Diceros bicornis minor: one gene and its partner. The protein of the gene in region 1 purifies or fractionates together with the protein of each later gene. This does not show direct contact. Links are inferred from orthologs where the notes say so. Each region holds a gene or a part of one and is shown in the gene's direction. Other genes may lie near its edges. The genes, in order: PTPN12 and PSTPIP2.

The links.
Region 2: the proteins of PTPN12 (region 1) and PSTPIP2 purify together in Homo sapiens (affinity purification with mass spectrometry; 4 studies listed by BioGRID and IntAct, counting the BioPlex papers as one, with this or other methods). This does not show direct contact. The link is inferred for Diceros bicornis minor from reciprocal best matches to the Homo sapiens genes PTPN12 and PSTPIP2.

What each region holds. Positions count from the first base shown.
Region 1 is NC_080742.1:15,353,573-15,361,165, forward strand, and holds the start of PTPN12 (tyrosine-protein phosphatase non-receptor type 12), read left to right. Parts: upstream 1-4,574; 5' UTR 4,575-4,594; coding exon 4,595-4,693; intron 4,694-7,593. UniProt on the Homo sapiens protein: Dephosphorylates a range of proteins, and thereby regulates cellular signaling cascades. Dephosphorylates cellular tyrosine kinases, such as ERBB2 and PTK2B/PYK2, and thereby regulates signaling via ERBB2 and PTK2B/PYK2.
Region 2 is NC_080755.1:39,090,626-39,098,468, reverse strand, and holds the start of PSTPIP2 (proline-serine-threonine phosphatase-interacting protein 2), read left to right. Parts: upstream 1-4,602; 5' UTR 4,603-4,710; coding exon 4,711-4,743; intron 4,744-7,843. UniProt on the Homo sapiens protein: Binds to F-actin. May be involved in regulation of the actin cytoskeleton.

The sequences.
Region 1 (7,593 bases):
GAAAGGAGGTAAAAAAGTAAAAGGTCCGGAAATCATTCATTCTTTGTTTGTTTAACCAGTTCTTCTTCTATGAGCAAGTGTAATGTGTAGTACACTAATTATGAAACACGTCTTGCTAAGACAGCACCAGGCGACTTTCCTAGAAGATCAAACTGAAGCTGAGAGAGGTTGTGACTTGCCCTGAGTAAGAAACAGAGCAGGTTTTTGACCCTTCATCTCTCTCACTTCAGAGCCCATGCTCTTTATTATGGCCCTATTCTGTTTCAGGAAAAGCAGAATTTATTTATGGAATAAATGTCAACCAAACCTGTCCTGAAAAGTTATGAGGAAGTCAAGTTGTTCCAGGGATTCTCCTCATCTCTCCCACCACCACACGGGTTATTATACCATGACATCTCTACACATCTCTGCACGCCTGCTTAATGCTCCTTTCTGGACTACCCAGATTCTTTAAACTTTCTACTGTCTCACAAGGCTTCTGCCTGCCAAATCCCTAATTCTACCCCATGGCACTCAGCCTCAGCCCTTGCTGTTTAACGACTTTCTCTAGGTTTCTAAATTCAGATTCCTAACAGTGAAAACCGATTGGCCCAGATCATGTTCCTACACCAGGCCATAGGTCACTGGCCAGCCTACATGGATTGGTTAACTTGGGTCAAGTGCCCAAACCTTTGGCTGTGGCTGAGGATGGGCAGGGTGGTCAAGTTTCTCAAGAACTGTGGTGTAAGTAGGTGGGCATTCTGAAATTTAGCCTGTGCTGTTTTTAAAAACTTCCCAAACAAGATCTGCTTCCTTTTTTCTTTATTTGCATGTTTCTACTCAAGATACTGCCATTCCTCCTATCATCTGGATTGAAAGTCTAAAACATTTTTTTAATTAAATAGATTTAATTTTGTTGGAAAAGTAATGCACACACATGGTAAAATATTCAGAATATAAAAAGGTATACATATTGGAAGTTGTCTCCTTTCCACCAAAGATTCTCAAGGCCCTCCTAGAAGCAACCACAGCTAATAGTTTTTGAAGTATCCTTCAGAAAAATTCTATGTATGTTCAAGCATTCTATCCACATTCCATTTTACATAAAAGGAAGAATATCATAAACACATGTATGCCAAGCTTTTCTCATTTAATAAGTAAATGGGGCCTATTCCACATCAACATACACAGATTATTTTTTTCATTTTTTAAATGGCTTCTCAGAACTTCATTATACATAAGTGTTTTGTTTTTTAACCAATGCTCTTTTGATAGGCACGTACACTGTTTCCACTCCTGCCATTACAAATAAGGCTACAATAAGCATACATATTTGCACAAAGCTGTAAATATTATCTATAAATTTTTCAGTCAAAGCATGCATGCCATTTCCATTTTGATACATTTATGGCCAAATTGCCTCCAAAGATGTTATGCCAATTTCTCGCACCATCTGTGTATGAAAGTCCCCATTTGCCCATACCATGCACAGCCTTGTGTTCTGTCAAACTTTCTGATCTCTTCCAATTTGGTCATTCCAGCCATTTTTTATTCTACCTTCTTTCTTGCCTTCTTCAGTTAGTCACCTAGTTTTGTCAGTTCTTTCAGTCTCTCTCACCTCCATCTGTGTCTTTGTAACTGCAGTGCTATGACATTAGTTTTACCTTTTGCTGCTTCATGTATTGGCTCCGAATATCTCTCATTCCATTCTCTCCCTTTATTAATTCACAATTTATCCAAAACGTGCCAGGTTAATATTTTCATAATTTTAATCCTATCCTGAGAAACCTTTGGTGGCTTCCACTGCCAACAGTATCAAGTCCAAATCCTTAACCGTCCATTCAATGCTCTCCAGAGTTGGGTCCCAATCTACTTTAGAGCCTTCACACAGGTACAAAAGTTCTGCTTCAAACTTCTGCTTTGCCATCTTCATGCTTTTTGTTTCATCACACCTCTTGCCTGGGAGTTATTCTTCCTGTTCAACCCTAATTTCACTTATCCTTCAAGGTCCTCTCTGACCATCTCATGCTCACAACCTGGTTCACAATTCTCTCTTCTCAGAATTGTTAAACCACTCATTGTCTGTATCACTCATCTTGCATGTATTAACTTAAAGGAACTAAGGGTTCACTGTTTTTCCTGTCTCCTGAACTAAGCTATAAGCTCTAAAAGAAGCCATCCCTAAAATTTTTGTCTCTCTCTCTCTCTCTCACACACATACACACACACACACAGCACAACCTCTCATATTTTAAAGTGCTCAAAAAATATCTGTAGATTGAAACAAAACCTAAATATAGTAAAAAGAGGAAAGCACTGCTAAACCTTTCCAAGAGAGTTAAATCCATAAAGATACTTCACATTTGTTTCCTCTAACCTACATCAGATGCCAAAGGTAGCAGCTAAGAATTCCAAGAACACTCAAGTGTTGCAAGAGAGAAGCCTGCCAATATGAGAGAGAAAGACTGCAAAAACACTAGCCAAAATAGGATTCAACAATTCAAACAAGCAACACTTCCCACCAGACTGTCACTACACTGTTACACAACTTATCTAGCATACAGTCTTTATCAATCACTGCCTGGTTTGTACATTCTTTTGACTTATCAAATCTGCCCATTTCTTCACCTACAGTCTAGTTTCTCTCCCAGTTCTGGGGGAAGAGGGTACCTATAGAGAGCTATATTAGTAGGTGATTAAGCCCACATCCAGTGAAACCGAGTCTCAGTATCGGATTAATGTAGACTATTCCAGACCCTTGTTTCAAATAGAGCTTACCTTAGAAATTAAACTATTCCTCTAAGTAAATTTTTAAAATACAGAGCAAAATTGTATCTTTTTACATGCACATATACGCATACAAATACACAGGAAGAGATTTGGAAGGGCACATCTGGAAGTGCATCTTTCTGAGGAGAGGAGTGGATTGGTATATATTAGTTGTATTATTTTAAAGAAAAATATTTTTCTTTAAAACAAAGAGGAAATAGTGTTTTCTTCATACCTATTTTCATACCTATTTTCTTCAATGAGTTTATCATTATATTCCATGGTGCTTCTAAATATTCATCTGGGAAAAGGGGCCTAACACTGATATTTCCTATTTTAGCAAATTCTCTGACCAATCTATCTGTAAAAAATGTCGTTTCTGGGTGTAAGTGACCAAAATAAGTCCATGGATCAAATCTTTCACTTCTATCACATTATCATAAGTTTATGTTCCTTAGTGAGAGGCGATATGGTGGTGTACTGAAAGCAAAAGAATTTGGGTTCTAGTTTGGGCTCTGCTAAAAATATGCTGGTGGACCTCGGGCAAATCACTTTCTTTGTAAAATGGTGAATTAGACCAGCATGGATGTTCTGATTACTAGAAGATGTACAAGACGTATAACAATGTATAAAGTGCATCCTATGGATAAAAGTCTATTATTCAGTTCTAAAGTCCTGCGAATCTAAAGGCAAGAAGACAAATTCCCTTCTATTTAGCAAATACTGAGCCCCCACCATAGGCGTGGTATGTATTAGGACGCACTCTGGATCTCTGGCGCTCACTCGCTGGGTTTAGACGGATTTGCAAAAAGCAAACGTCCTTTCACTCAAAGAGAGTTTCATTTTTCTTGGCCGTAGCCATTCCCCAAAGCGCCAAGGTCTAACTGCCGTCAACACTCAAGCCACCAGTAAGACGAAGACATACCTGCTGTGACCGTGGAGACGACACTACTACAGTTCCCAGCCTTCCTCTCTTCCCACCACCGCCCCCTCCCGCCCCCGCTGCTGGACTTCTGCCGGCCGGGACCTGTAGTCCCATCCCGCGGCTGGCAGCGGCGCGGAAGCACTCTAGAAATACGCCTTTCCCACTAATAGGCGGCTAGACCTCAAATTTCAGCTCAAGTCCTACTCCACCGACTAGGGTCTCCCCCACTCCCTGTCCAACTCCCTTCTCCCAGCGCTCCTCAGACCTAGAGCTTTCCGGGCGGGACCCCGCCCCGGAAGTTGGGTCAAGTCGCCCCGCCGGCAGCCAAAGCGCCTTCCAGCCACTCCTCGCCGGGCTGAGGCCGGCGGGGCGGGCTTGGGGGAGTGGCCCGGAGGCGGGCGGGCGGGGGCGGACCGGCGCGGCGTAGCGCCCGGGGCGGAGCCGCAGCGCGGGACCGCGCGTCTGGGTGGCGGCGGGGGCGCGCCCATGGGGAGAGGCGGCGGCGGCTGCGGCTGCTAGTGGGGAGGGGGGCGGGGAGGAGGAACCGGGAAGGGGGGCAGGGCGAGCGGAGAGCCGAGTTCCTGAGGCGGTGGCGGCGTCTCGGACTGAGGAGGAGGAGGGCGGGGAAGGAGGATGGAGCAAGCGGGGGGTTGGGGTTGGCGCTAGCCGCAGCGGCTCGCCTCTTACTGTGGGAGCGCGGCGGCTGCTCCTGGAAGTTGTGGTGTCGGGAGCCGGGCCGGGGCCGCCGCGGCCGCCGCCTCGGGCGGTGGGGAGGAGGAGGGAGCGGCGGGGTTGGCGGGGGTCAGGAGGGAGGGGACGGGCCGGGGGAGCGAGCTGGGGCAGACAGAGCGGGCTCTGCGCCGGGCGGGCGGGCGGCGGCGGCGGGGGGGGCAGCGGCCGCGGCCGGGGGGACGCGGGAGGATGGAGCAAGTGGAGATCCTGAGGAAATTCATCCAGAGGGTCCAGGCCATGAAGAGTCCGGACCACAATGGGGAGGACAACTTCGCCCGGGACTTCATGGTGAGTCCCTCCCCTCGCCGTCGCCTCCTCTCGCCGGCACCGGAGCCCCCCGCCGCCTCGCCGGGCCGGCCGGGCCGCCGGCGCTTTGTGTGTGGCAGTGAGCAGGGGGCGCGCGCCGGGTGGGCTCGGAGGCTGGCGGGAGGTGATAGATCCGGGCCTCCTTTCCTCTCCACGCGCGTTCGCGGCCCCTTCAGCGGGCGCCTAGGGCGCGAAGAGAGCGGCCGCCGGGCCGTGCCCGCACCCCGCACGGCCGCCCGCGACCCCCTATTGTTTCCCGGGCCAGGAGCCGGAGGCGAGTGCCGTGCAGGCCGGGGGCTGGTCTCCGCTCACCTCCCGGTGCAGCCTGCCCCTCCCGGCGGGCTCGAGACAGGGTGTCTGCCCGGGAGGAGCGGAGCGCGGCCGGCCGAGGCACGGGTGTGGAGGTGGGCATTAACTCGTGGGGTGCCTCTGCTCCAGCTGGTCTCAGAAGTGGGTGGATGGGACCTCTGCCGATTCTAGGTTTGCACTCATTATCTCTGACGCCTGGGAATGGATTGTCCACAAGGAATCTCGTGGTTTGCCTCATTTCCATTCACCCCTGTCCCGTCTCGTGTCCCTTGAGACTCAGGTTTGAGATGGTGTTGCGCTCAGGGTGACTCTAGGTTGAGGGGCTAAGTGTGTGAGAAGGGGGGTTATCCTGAAGGAAGCCTGCTTCGGCTCCCGCGGGGTTATTGCCGAAGGCGGAGGGGATGTGACTATCACTTCCTATCCGGGGTGGGGGTGGGGAACTTGGGAACAATAGTCCTGGTGGGGCGGAGGCGACCGTACGGGCCGAAGCCCTGAACTGGGAGATAACCTTCGCAGCCTGCCCGCCCCCCCACTTTCCGCCCTCCGCTTGTGCAGGCGGGCTGGAGAGGAGGTTAAAAGTCCTGTTCGTGAAATTGCTTTAGATCCATCGCTGAGGGGGTCAGATCCGAAGGCGTGGGACCAGAAGTCGACTTCCTACATTGCCCCCCCACCCTTTATTTTTCTGCTGGACAATGTTCCCTTTAGGGTTGTTTCCCGGCTTAGGAGGCGGTGGTTGCGGCTGCTGCTCCTACGGATATTGCGCAAGACTGGGGCGTTGGAAACCCTGGAGGTCTGGGGAATGGAAAAGGAAGTGGGACTTTGGGAAGTGGTTGCTCCTTAGCCTTGGCGGGGTTTGGGAATGGGAAATAAGCTAGGGAAAATTTTGCTCCTGGGCAAAATACACCTCCAAGAATAATCACTTAACTCCGAAATGCTTGATTGTAAAAAGGATACACAGTTAATTTCTGTAAAAATGAATGAGCGGCAAACATTGGCTAGTTTTTATTTCGAAGTACGGTTGAATTGTTTATAATGTTCAGGTGAAATTAGTACTGAAATACTTTTTCATATTTTGAAGAGACCGGTCTAGTAAAGCATTACCGTTAAAATTGTTAACAGCTTGTTAAGTAAATCCTTGACCTTACACAATATTATAATAGTATTGTTGAGTTTTGTGATTCCCGCCTCCCTAGACCAATAATAGAGGATAGGAGTAAGATTTTGTTAGTGTCTTTTGGAAAGGGTTAAGTTATCTATGCCTTACTTTTTAACATGTTCTCTCGATATTTAGCCTATGTATTTTTGAAAAATTGCTTTTTGATCTGAGAGGGCTAAAGAAAAGGACATTTTCCCATCTTACTATTGAGAATTTTGATTATGTTGGTGTCTTTTGAATGATGTCACAATAATTGGTCGGAGTCCCGTTTTGCTGCTCTTTAGCAAAAATAGAAGAAAATATTTACTTAGAATATTTAAAACTAGTCTTTACAGTCTTATTTTGGTTATGGGTGAAGAGGTGCTGCGGTCCCTGGCCACTTCTCCTTTGTATGCTAGTCGTCTTGTTATCCCTGGTCATATCCTGTCAGGAAAGAGCATTGTTTGGTGATGCAGGCCATCAGGACAGGTGCCCAGTCTTTGAACTTCAGTACTGGGGAAGTAGCCTTAGGATTCATGCTTTGGGGATGAGTCAGGGATTCCTATTGGAGATTTCATTTCTCAAGGACTAAATGAGTTTCCTTTTTCTTCCATAATACCTAGGGAGAGCTAGGTGACTACATTTGAGATTTGATGACTAAAGGTATTCTTTTATAGTGCTTGCTTTTTTTATTCCATGACTTGATAAGCAATAGCTATAATTAAGACTTCTAATTGGTGCTGCTTTTTCCCTTTACTGGAAGGCTGGGGGGAAACCATGTCCCCTCTGCCATGAAAAGAGAATAGAATCAGGTGATAGATTCTAACTGTTCTTATCTTTAAATTCTGATGTGGATTAAAAAATGCATTTTTAAATTTTAGCATTTTAGAACCGAGCCTTAGAGATAAACTAGCTATTATAACCCTATTCAGTTATAAAGTAATAATGTTCGTTATTTCAAATTCATAAATTATAGAGTAATATTTGATAATACCTTACCTTTAGGAAAATGGAGTGGGCATCTAAACTGCTCTTTCCATTATTCTGTCCAGCCTTTCTGTAGTCTCATCACCCAGAGACACTGTCTGTTAGTGTTTTAATGCTTCTCTGTGACCATACTACATATACCATTTTATATTCTTGAGTTTTTTCCAACTTGTTTTAATAAGCATTTTTCATTTGTAAAAATAATTTCAAGTGGCTATATAATATTTCACCTGGTGACGATTTTATAGCTTAACCATTTCCTTATGGTTGAATGTTTAGGACATTTGTTTTCTGCTATTTTATATCATAATTCTGTAATAAACATTTATGCATGAAACTTCTTTATTTTGGATTATTGCAAAAGATATCTTCCAGTAGTGGAAGTACTATATAAAAGGATATAAACATTTAATATATGTTTATAAATAACTTTTTGAAGAAGTTGTGTCAG
Region 2 (7,843 bases), on another chromosome or scaffold:
AGAAGCTATCCCACTGAGAACAGGAACAAGACAAGGGTGCCCACTCTTGTCACTCCTCTTCAACATAGTACTAGAGGTTTTGGCCAGAGCAATTAGGCAATAAAAAAAAATAAAAAGTATTCATGTTGGAAAGGAATAAGTGAAACTCTTGCTGTTTTCAGATGACATGATCCTATATATAGAAAACCCTGAAGAATCCACCAGAAAAGTATTAGAAATAATTAACAACTACAGCAAAGTTGCAGAGTATGAAATCAACTTACAAAAATCAGTTGCATTTCTATACACTAATAATGAACTAGTAGAAAGAGAAGTCAAGGATACAACCCTATTTACAATTGCAACAAAAAGAATAAAATATCTAGGGATAAATTTAACCAAGGAGGTGAAAGACCTATACACTGAAAAGTGTAGCACATTATTGAAAGAAATCAAAGATGAAACGAAAAGATATTCCATGCACATGGATTGGACGAATAAACATAGTTAAAATCTTCATGGGGCCGGCCTGGTGGCGTGGCGGTTAAGTGTGCGTACTCTGCTGCTGTAGCCCGGGGTTCGCAGGTTTGGATCCCAGGTGCGCACCGACGCACCGCTTGTCAACCCACGCTGTGGCAGCATCCCATATACAGTAGAGGAAGATGGGCACAGATCTTAGCCCAGGGCCAATCTTCCTCAGCAAAAAGAGGAGGATTGGCATCGCTTGTTAGTTCAGGGCTAATCTTCCTCACACACACACAAAAATCTTCATATTACCTAAAACAATCTACAGATTTAGTGCAATCCCAATCACATTCTTCACAGAAACAGAGCAAAGAATCCTAAAATTTATGTGGAACAACAAAAGACCCCAAATAGCAAAAGCAATCCTGAGAAAAAAGAACAAAGCTGGAGGCATCACAATACCTGACTTCAAAATATACTACAAAGCTATAGTAATCAAAACATCATGATACTGGCACAAAAACATGCACACAGATCAATGGAATAGAATTGAAAGCCCAGAAATAAACCCACACATCTATGGACAGCTAATCTTTGACGAAGGAGCCAAGAACATACAACGGAGAAAGGAAAGTCTCTTCAATAAATAGTGTTTGGAAAACTGGACAGCCATGTGCAAGAGAATGAAAGTATACCATTATCTTACACCATACACAAAAATTAACTCCACATGGATTAAAGATTGGAATGTAAGACCTGAAACCATAAAATTCTTAGAAGAGAATACAGGCAGTACACTCTTTGACATCAGTCTTAGCATCATATTTTTGAATACCATGTCTACTCAGGCAAGGGAAACAAAAGAAAAAATAAACAAATAGAACTACATCATACTAAGAGCTTCTGCAAGGCAAAGCAAACGATGAACAAAACGAAAAGACAGACCACCAACTGGGAGAAAATATTTGCAAATCATGTATCTGACGAGAGATTGATTTCCAAAATATGTAAAGAACTCATATATCTCAAAAACAAAAAAACAAACAACCTGATCAAAAAATGGGCAGAGGATATGAACAGACATTTTTCCAGAGAAGATATACAGATGGCCAATAGGCACATGAAAAGATGTTCGACATCACTAACTATTACGGAAATGCAAATCAAAACCACAATGAGATATCCCCTTACACCTGTCAGAGTGGCCATAATTACCAAGACAAAAAATAACAAATGTTGGAGAGGATGTGGAGAAAAGGGAATCCTCATACATGGCTGGTGGGAACGTAAACTGGTTCAGCCACTATGGAAAACAGTATGGAGACCTCTCAAAAAATTAGAAACAGAAATACCATATGATCCAGCTATCCCACTACTGAGTATTTATCCAAAGAACTTGAAACCTGCAATTCAAAGAAACTTATGCACCCCTGTGTTCATTGCAGCATTACTCACAATAGCCAAGACGTGGAAGCAACCCAAGTGCCCGTCAACTGATCAATGGATAAAGAAGATGTGGTATATATGTATGTGTGTATACACACACACACACACACACAATGGAATACTACTCAGCCATAAAAAGACAAAATCATCTCATTTGCAACAACGTGGATGGACCTTGAGGGTATGATGTTAAGCAAAATAAGTCAGACAGAGAAAGACAAACACTGCATGATTTCACTCACATGTGGAAGATAAACAAGCACATGGATAAAGAGAACAGATTAGTAGTTACCAGAGGGGAAGGGAGTGGGAGAAGAGTGAAAGGAGTAAAGGGACACACATGTATGCTTTCGGATAACAACTAGACTATTGGTGAACACGATGTAGTCTACACAGAAACTGAAATATAGTGATGTACACCTGAAATTTACACAATGTTATAAGCCAATATGACCTCACTAAAAAAAAAAAAGGTCCATTTTAAATTTTGATGACATGGCCAAATGTCTGTTCACAGAGGTTTTCAATTTTTACATGCAAGAGTATCTGTCCATTTGGTCAGCACTGTGTGCTATCAAACTTTTGTTAGGAAAAATGTATTTAAGGCCTTTAGAAAATACTTATGAAGTATTGTTAAGTTAAAAAAGCAAGACCCAAAACTTTATGTACAGCAAATGCCAATGTATATTATTGGAAGAGATTATGCCAAAATATTAGCAGTGGTTATCTTAAATGTATTGATCATTAAATTTCATGTCATAATTACTTTAGTAGTGTTATTTAACTTCGTTAGCAAAATTTCCCAAATTTTTTATAGACCCTTGGATATAGTACACATTTTACTTGTTTTTTTTTTCACAACACCTGTGCTGGTGATAAGCTTAAGTGTTGGAGGAATGAATGAGTAGTATTTTCCAGCAGCAAGGACAACCATTTGCAATTTGCAATCTTGCCACCAGGTGGTGGAGGAGAGTTAAAATTCAGGGATCTTTGAGGCCTAAGCGGCGAAAATCAAGTAGAACTACCGTGAGAGCTTGTAAGGCTTTCTAAGACTTAAAAATATATGTATTAAAAATTAAAACATAGACAATTAGAATTGTATCTAAACTGTTTGTTCCAAAATCTTCAAAACTTCCAGGAAAAATCTTGGTCCTGTCTTTGGCACTTTCGTTTTTTTTTGTTTTTTTATAATTTTATTTTTTTTTCCCCCAAAGCCCCAGTAGATAGTTGTATGTCATAGCTGCACGTTCTTCTAGTTGGTGTATGTGGGACCTGGCCACCGCCGGGGGTTCCCAACCCGGGCCGCCAGCAGCGGAGCGCGCGCGCTTAGCCGCTAAGCCACGGTCGGGCCCTACACTTTAGCTTCTTCCATTTCCCTGGTTAGCGGCTATTTCTCACCCCTCCTGTGGCTTAGTTTGTTTACTGTGGCCTCTCCTGCACCCGGATGGTGCTGCCAGGCTTCTCTGCCTTCCTTCTAACCCCACTACTCTCCAAAGAGATGAACAACCAGATAAATGGATGCGTGCCCTTGGAATAACCCAGGGCTGGAGGACCCCTCTCCGTCTTTGTAGGTGTGGATGACTCTACAGGTGGGATTCATTACAGTGGGACTGGGGGTGGTTTTACCAGGCAGAACCTTTTAGCTGTCCTTCAAATCACCCCTTTCAAAAGCAATTGCCCTTTCACTGTGTCTAGAATGAGCTAGAACCTGATTAAGAGGCAAATGCTTGCCTCTCCAGGCCCTGGGTTGTGCGCTGGGCATCAGCACTCGGTCTTGGTCCCGGTGACCTTCATCCAGCACCTACTCTCTGCTTAGGGTGGATCTGCCCCAGGAGCGGTGTTCGTCTTTGGCCCTGGCTCCCTTTAGAAGGCTGGAGCTCTAAGCCAGCCCTTTATCCCTTAAATACTCTGTGATCTTAGACAAGTCATTCAGCCTCTCTGGGCCTCAGTTTTGGCTCAGAGAGTGTAGCAGGCAGCAGTACTTTGTCCCAGAGTACCTTATTACTACAAAGCAAGGAGGAGTCTGCCTCGCCCTGGGGTTATGTTTTTAGGGGTGGAAGTGGAGGGAGACGAAGGAAGCTCTGGGCTCCTATTGCTGAGGTGGGATTGCTGGGAAGGGTCTTGGGTCCTGAGAATGAGGAAGGGGTCAGGGAGAGGCTGAGCTCCTGGACGCCCTGAAAGGGCCTCACTAAGGGACCTAGAGTCAAGGGGAAACAATATCAATGACCTTTCCACGGCTTTTAGACTAAAAAGTGGCCGAAGGGCTGATCTGCAGCGGGTGCACCCGAGGTCGTGCACACGACTCGCTGAAGTGTCTTCACCTCACGCGACCGCTGGCATTGTCAGTCCCCAGGCTTTACGGAACTGACTCCTGGTCCACGCGACCACTTTTCCATCAGGCGAGGGCTCCGCTGAGCCTGAATTTCTCTGCGAGGAATTCGGTCTGGGGAACAGGGAGCTTGTGGGCAGTAACTGAGCCTACTTGGGGCAGGCCACAGGATCAGTTCCTTCCAAGCCTCAAAGTCTTCCTGAAAGAGGGGGAAATTTAGGGTTCCCTAGTTGAGCGTTGCCTGACGCCCGGGGCTTGAAATCTGCCTAGGTCCCCGCACGGGACACGAGGGCGGCGCGTCCAGGCTTGGGTTTCCCGCGGGGCGGGAGCGAGCAGCGCGGAATCGGGCGTGGTCTAGGACCCAGGGCGGGCCTCCGGCCGGCTGTGGGACTCCGAGGAGGCGGCTGCGGGACCGCGGGCCGTGACTGTCCGGCTGTGACCCGCCGCCCCGGCTCCGCTCCAGCTCCGCTCCGCACCCCCGACGCACGGCCATGACGGGCTCCCTGTTCAAGGGGAACTTCTGGGTAAGTCGGCGGGGCGGGCGGCCGGTCGCCGGCTCGGGACCCCGGGCGGGGGGCCAGCGCGGCGCCACTCCAGGACCGTGCGCGGAGCCGGCTGGGGACCGTGTCCCGAGCGCACGCCGGCCCGCCGGTCCCTCTCCGCCGGCCCCCCGCCGCCGCGCGTCCTCGCGTCCCCGGGCTCCGGTCCCCGGACCCCCAGCAGCGCGTCCTCCCGCGGGCGGCTGTAGCCCGAGCCTCGTCGAGTCGGGACATCCACCCTCATCGCGCAGGTGAGGAAACCGAGACCCAAAGGGAGCGGCGACCTGTCCGGGGAGAGTCGCCGGTGGCCCCGGAGGCTGCGCCGCGCGCGGATTTGGGGAGACTTGACAGCGGCAGTCACCCCGAGGGTCCGCGGGAACGCACAGTCCGTCCGAGCCCCGTTAGCGCCGGACTTCCCCCGCAGACCCTCGAGGGCTTCTCTTGCAGAAGCGTCCTCCCGTCGGGCAGCCGTGTTTCCTGAGCCCCCTCCCCGGGCCTTGGCCCAGCCCAGAGGGAGGCGATGCCTGTGTGAGACCCTCCCAGCTGGTGGGGCCATCACAGGAGGTAGCACCGGTCCAGCTAGTAGGCAGCAGGTCTGCTTGTCCCCCTTCCTCTGTCTAGTGCCCCCTTCCCCTCTCCTCTCACTCCCCAGGTGCCCCTCAAGGGTCTGTATCCCCTCCGGAGGAGGAACCACTCTCATCTCTTTAAGGCAGGAGCAAGAAGGAAACACACCTCAGAGCTGACCTACAGCTGCCAAGTGGCCCGACTTCTTACTTGGGACCCTGCTTGCCCTCCATTTAGCTTCACAGCTGCTTGGCAGGTCCCTATCCCCCCTCGTGGGTTGCTGGGTCGAGAAACCTGGCTGTGTGGCCTCAGGGACACAGTTTAGACCCTTTTTCTAGAGTTTTCAAGGTTCTTCTGGGGCACTGCCCACTTCTAGGGTGCAGGGCTGTGGAGCATCACGGAGAGGGTGAATGACCTCACAGTTGGCCCTGTGAGGAGGCCTGGGAATTCGTCAGGTAGATTATAGGACTTTTGGGTCCCAAGACAGACATTATGGGAAAAAGCAGGGCAGAGAGACCTGCCTTTCCCCACCTCAAAAAGTGTGACACCCGGTTTTCAGATCTCAGCCCAAGTATGACCCTTCAGGGAAGCCTTTCCTGATTGCACCCGATAGGCCCGTCACCTGCTCACATGGCACACATTCTGTTCCTTTATAGCATTTGTTCGTTTATAGTTTTGAATTCGGGGGCCTACAAACATGTGAGCATGTTGTGGACAGGTACTGTGCTGGCTCTCAGTGCCACCGCCCCTTGCACAGGCTGACCACAGTGGGTGCTCAGCAAATAGTTGTTGAATGACTAAAGTGGATCTGTAAGGCCCACAGGGCATGTGGCCAGGGGAGAGCAGCAGCCTCCATCCCCTGAGGGCTCCCAGGCCGCTGTAAAGCTGCTCCCAATGTGTACTTGCAGGAGTGGTTAGGGGAGGGGCAGAAATGAGGTCTGGGTTGGGACTTAGCCGTTGGGTGAAGGTCTGGGGGAAAGGACTTTCTCGGCTTATGCTTTGAGAAGGTGTCTGACATCCTGAGAAATAGTTTGCAAAGGTTATCTTCCATCTCTAATTTCCGGTGACGCTTTATGTCAAATAATAAAAACAATAATAGCTAACATTCCTGTGTACAGTCTGTGGCATACACCTTTCTAAATGCTTTACACACGCTACTCATTTAAGCTTCACAATTACCCTATGGGGTAGATTACTTACTATCCCATTTAAAATTTTTTTTTTCCCCGCAAAGCCCCAGTAGATAGTTGTATGTCATAGCTGCACATCCTTCTAGTTGCTGTATGTGGGACGCGGCCTCAGCGTGGCTGGAGAAGCGCTGTGTCTCTGGGTGCCCGGGATCCGAACCTGGGCCGCCAGCAGCGGAGCGCGCGCAGTTAACCGCTAAGCCACGGGGCCAGCCCTTACTATCTCATTTTACAGATGAGGAAACTGAGTGGCAGAAAGGTTAAGCAACATTTGCAAGGTCTTAGAGCTGTTAAATGGTCGAGCGGGACTCTGCATGGACTAAATGCTCAGTGGGTGCCTTCAACAAGTCTGGTGCTCAGCGAGAGTGTCCCAGCATAGCTGTCTGCATGGCCCCTTTGGCACTGCCAGAGGTAGACAGTCGGTCACCATTGGACCTTCACGTGAATGTTTCTTTCTCCTCCAGCTCCAACCATGAGCTCCTGGAGGGTAGGCACTGGGTGTCACCATCAGCTGAGCCTCCAGCACCTGCCATAGTGCCTTACATATGGATGCACAGGAATCAGGCAGACAGGACAGTCAGCCAGGACCTGGGAGAAACTGCTGGGGACCTCAGGGGCTGCCTGCAAGGCTTTCAAAACACTCTCAGGGGATGGGGGGGTGGGCAAGGCTGTTGTGAGCACTGAGGGGATGGAGATAACTTTCAGGTTTCAAGGATGAGAAAGTTGTGATTAGATAAGGTAGAAACCTTTGGAAACACAAGTGGGAATCAGTTGATTGAATTTAATAAATATTTATGACATACTTTCTCTGTGTAAGGAGCTCTAATGGAGGTGGCATTTGTAGGAGTAAGACCACCATCTTGGTTAGATTCCTCCTGAGCAAGCGAGGAAGGGAGGGCAGGCTTTGGCCTTGATGCCTGGCCTCAAGGATGTGGAGGAGGAAGGGGCAGGAGGTGGCAGAAGAGGGTAGAAGAGGTCCGTTCCAGGGTGGAGACCACAGGGAGGGGGAGAGGAGGAGGCAGGTGGGAGGAATGCAGAGGGTAGAAGAGGTCAAAGCCACAGGACAAGGTTACCAGTTGAAGGTGGGCAGTCAGAGAGAGGAAAGGAGGGCTGGGAGGAGGCTCTGTGTAAGGTGAACTGGAGAATGAGGTGTGGGGCCCCAAAATGAGGAAGTCGGGAGGAGGAACTGGTTTTTGGGGAAAGAAGGAGGAGGAGGAGGCAGAAGCGATATTAACAATATTTAACCACAGGGGTAGCACTGGCGAGGACCAAAGCCGCAGCATCCTGAAGCTCCCCCCAGCCTTTGGCCCCCAGTACCGTGCCAGGGTTGTTTG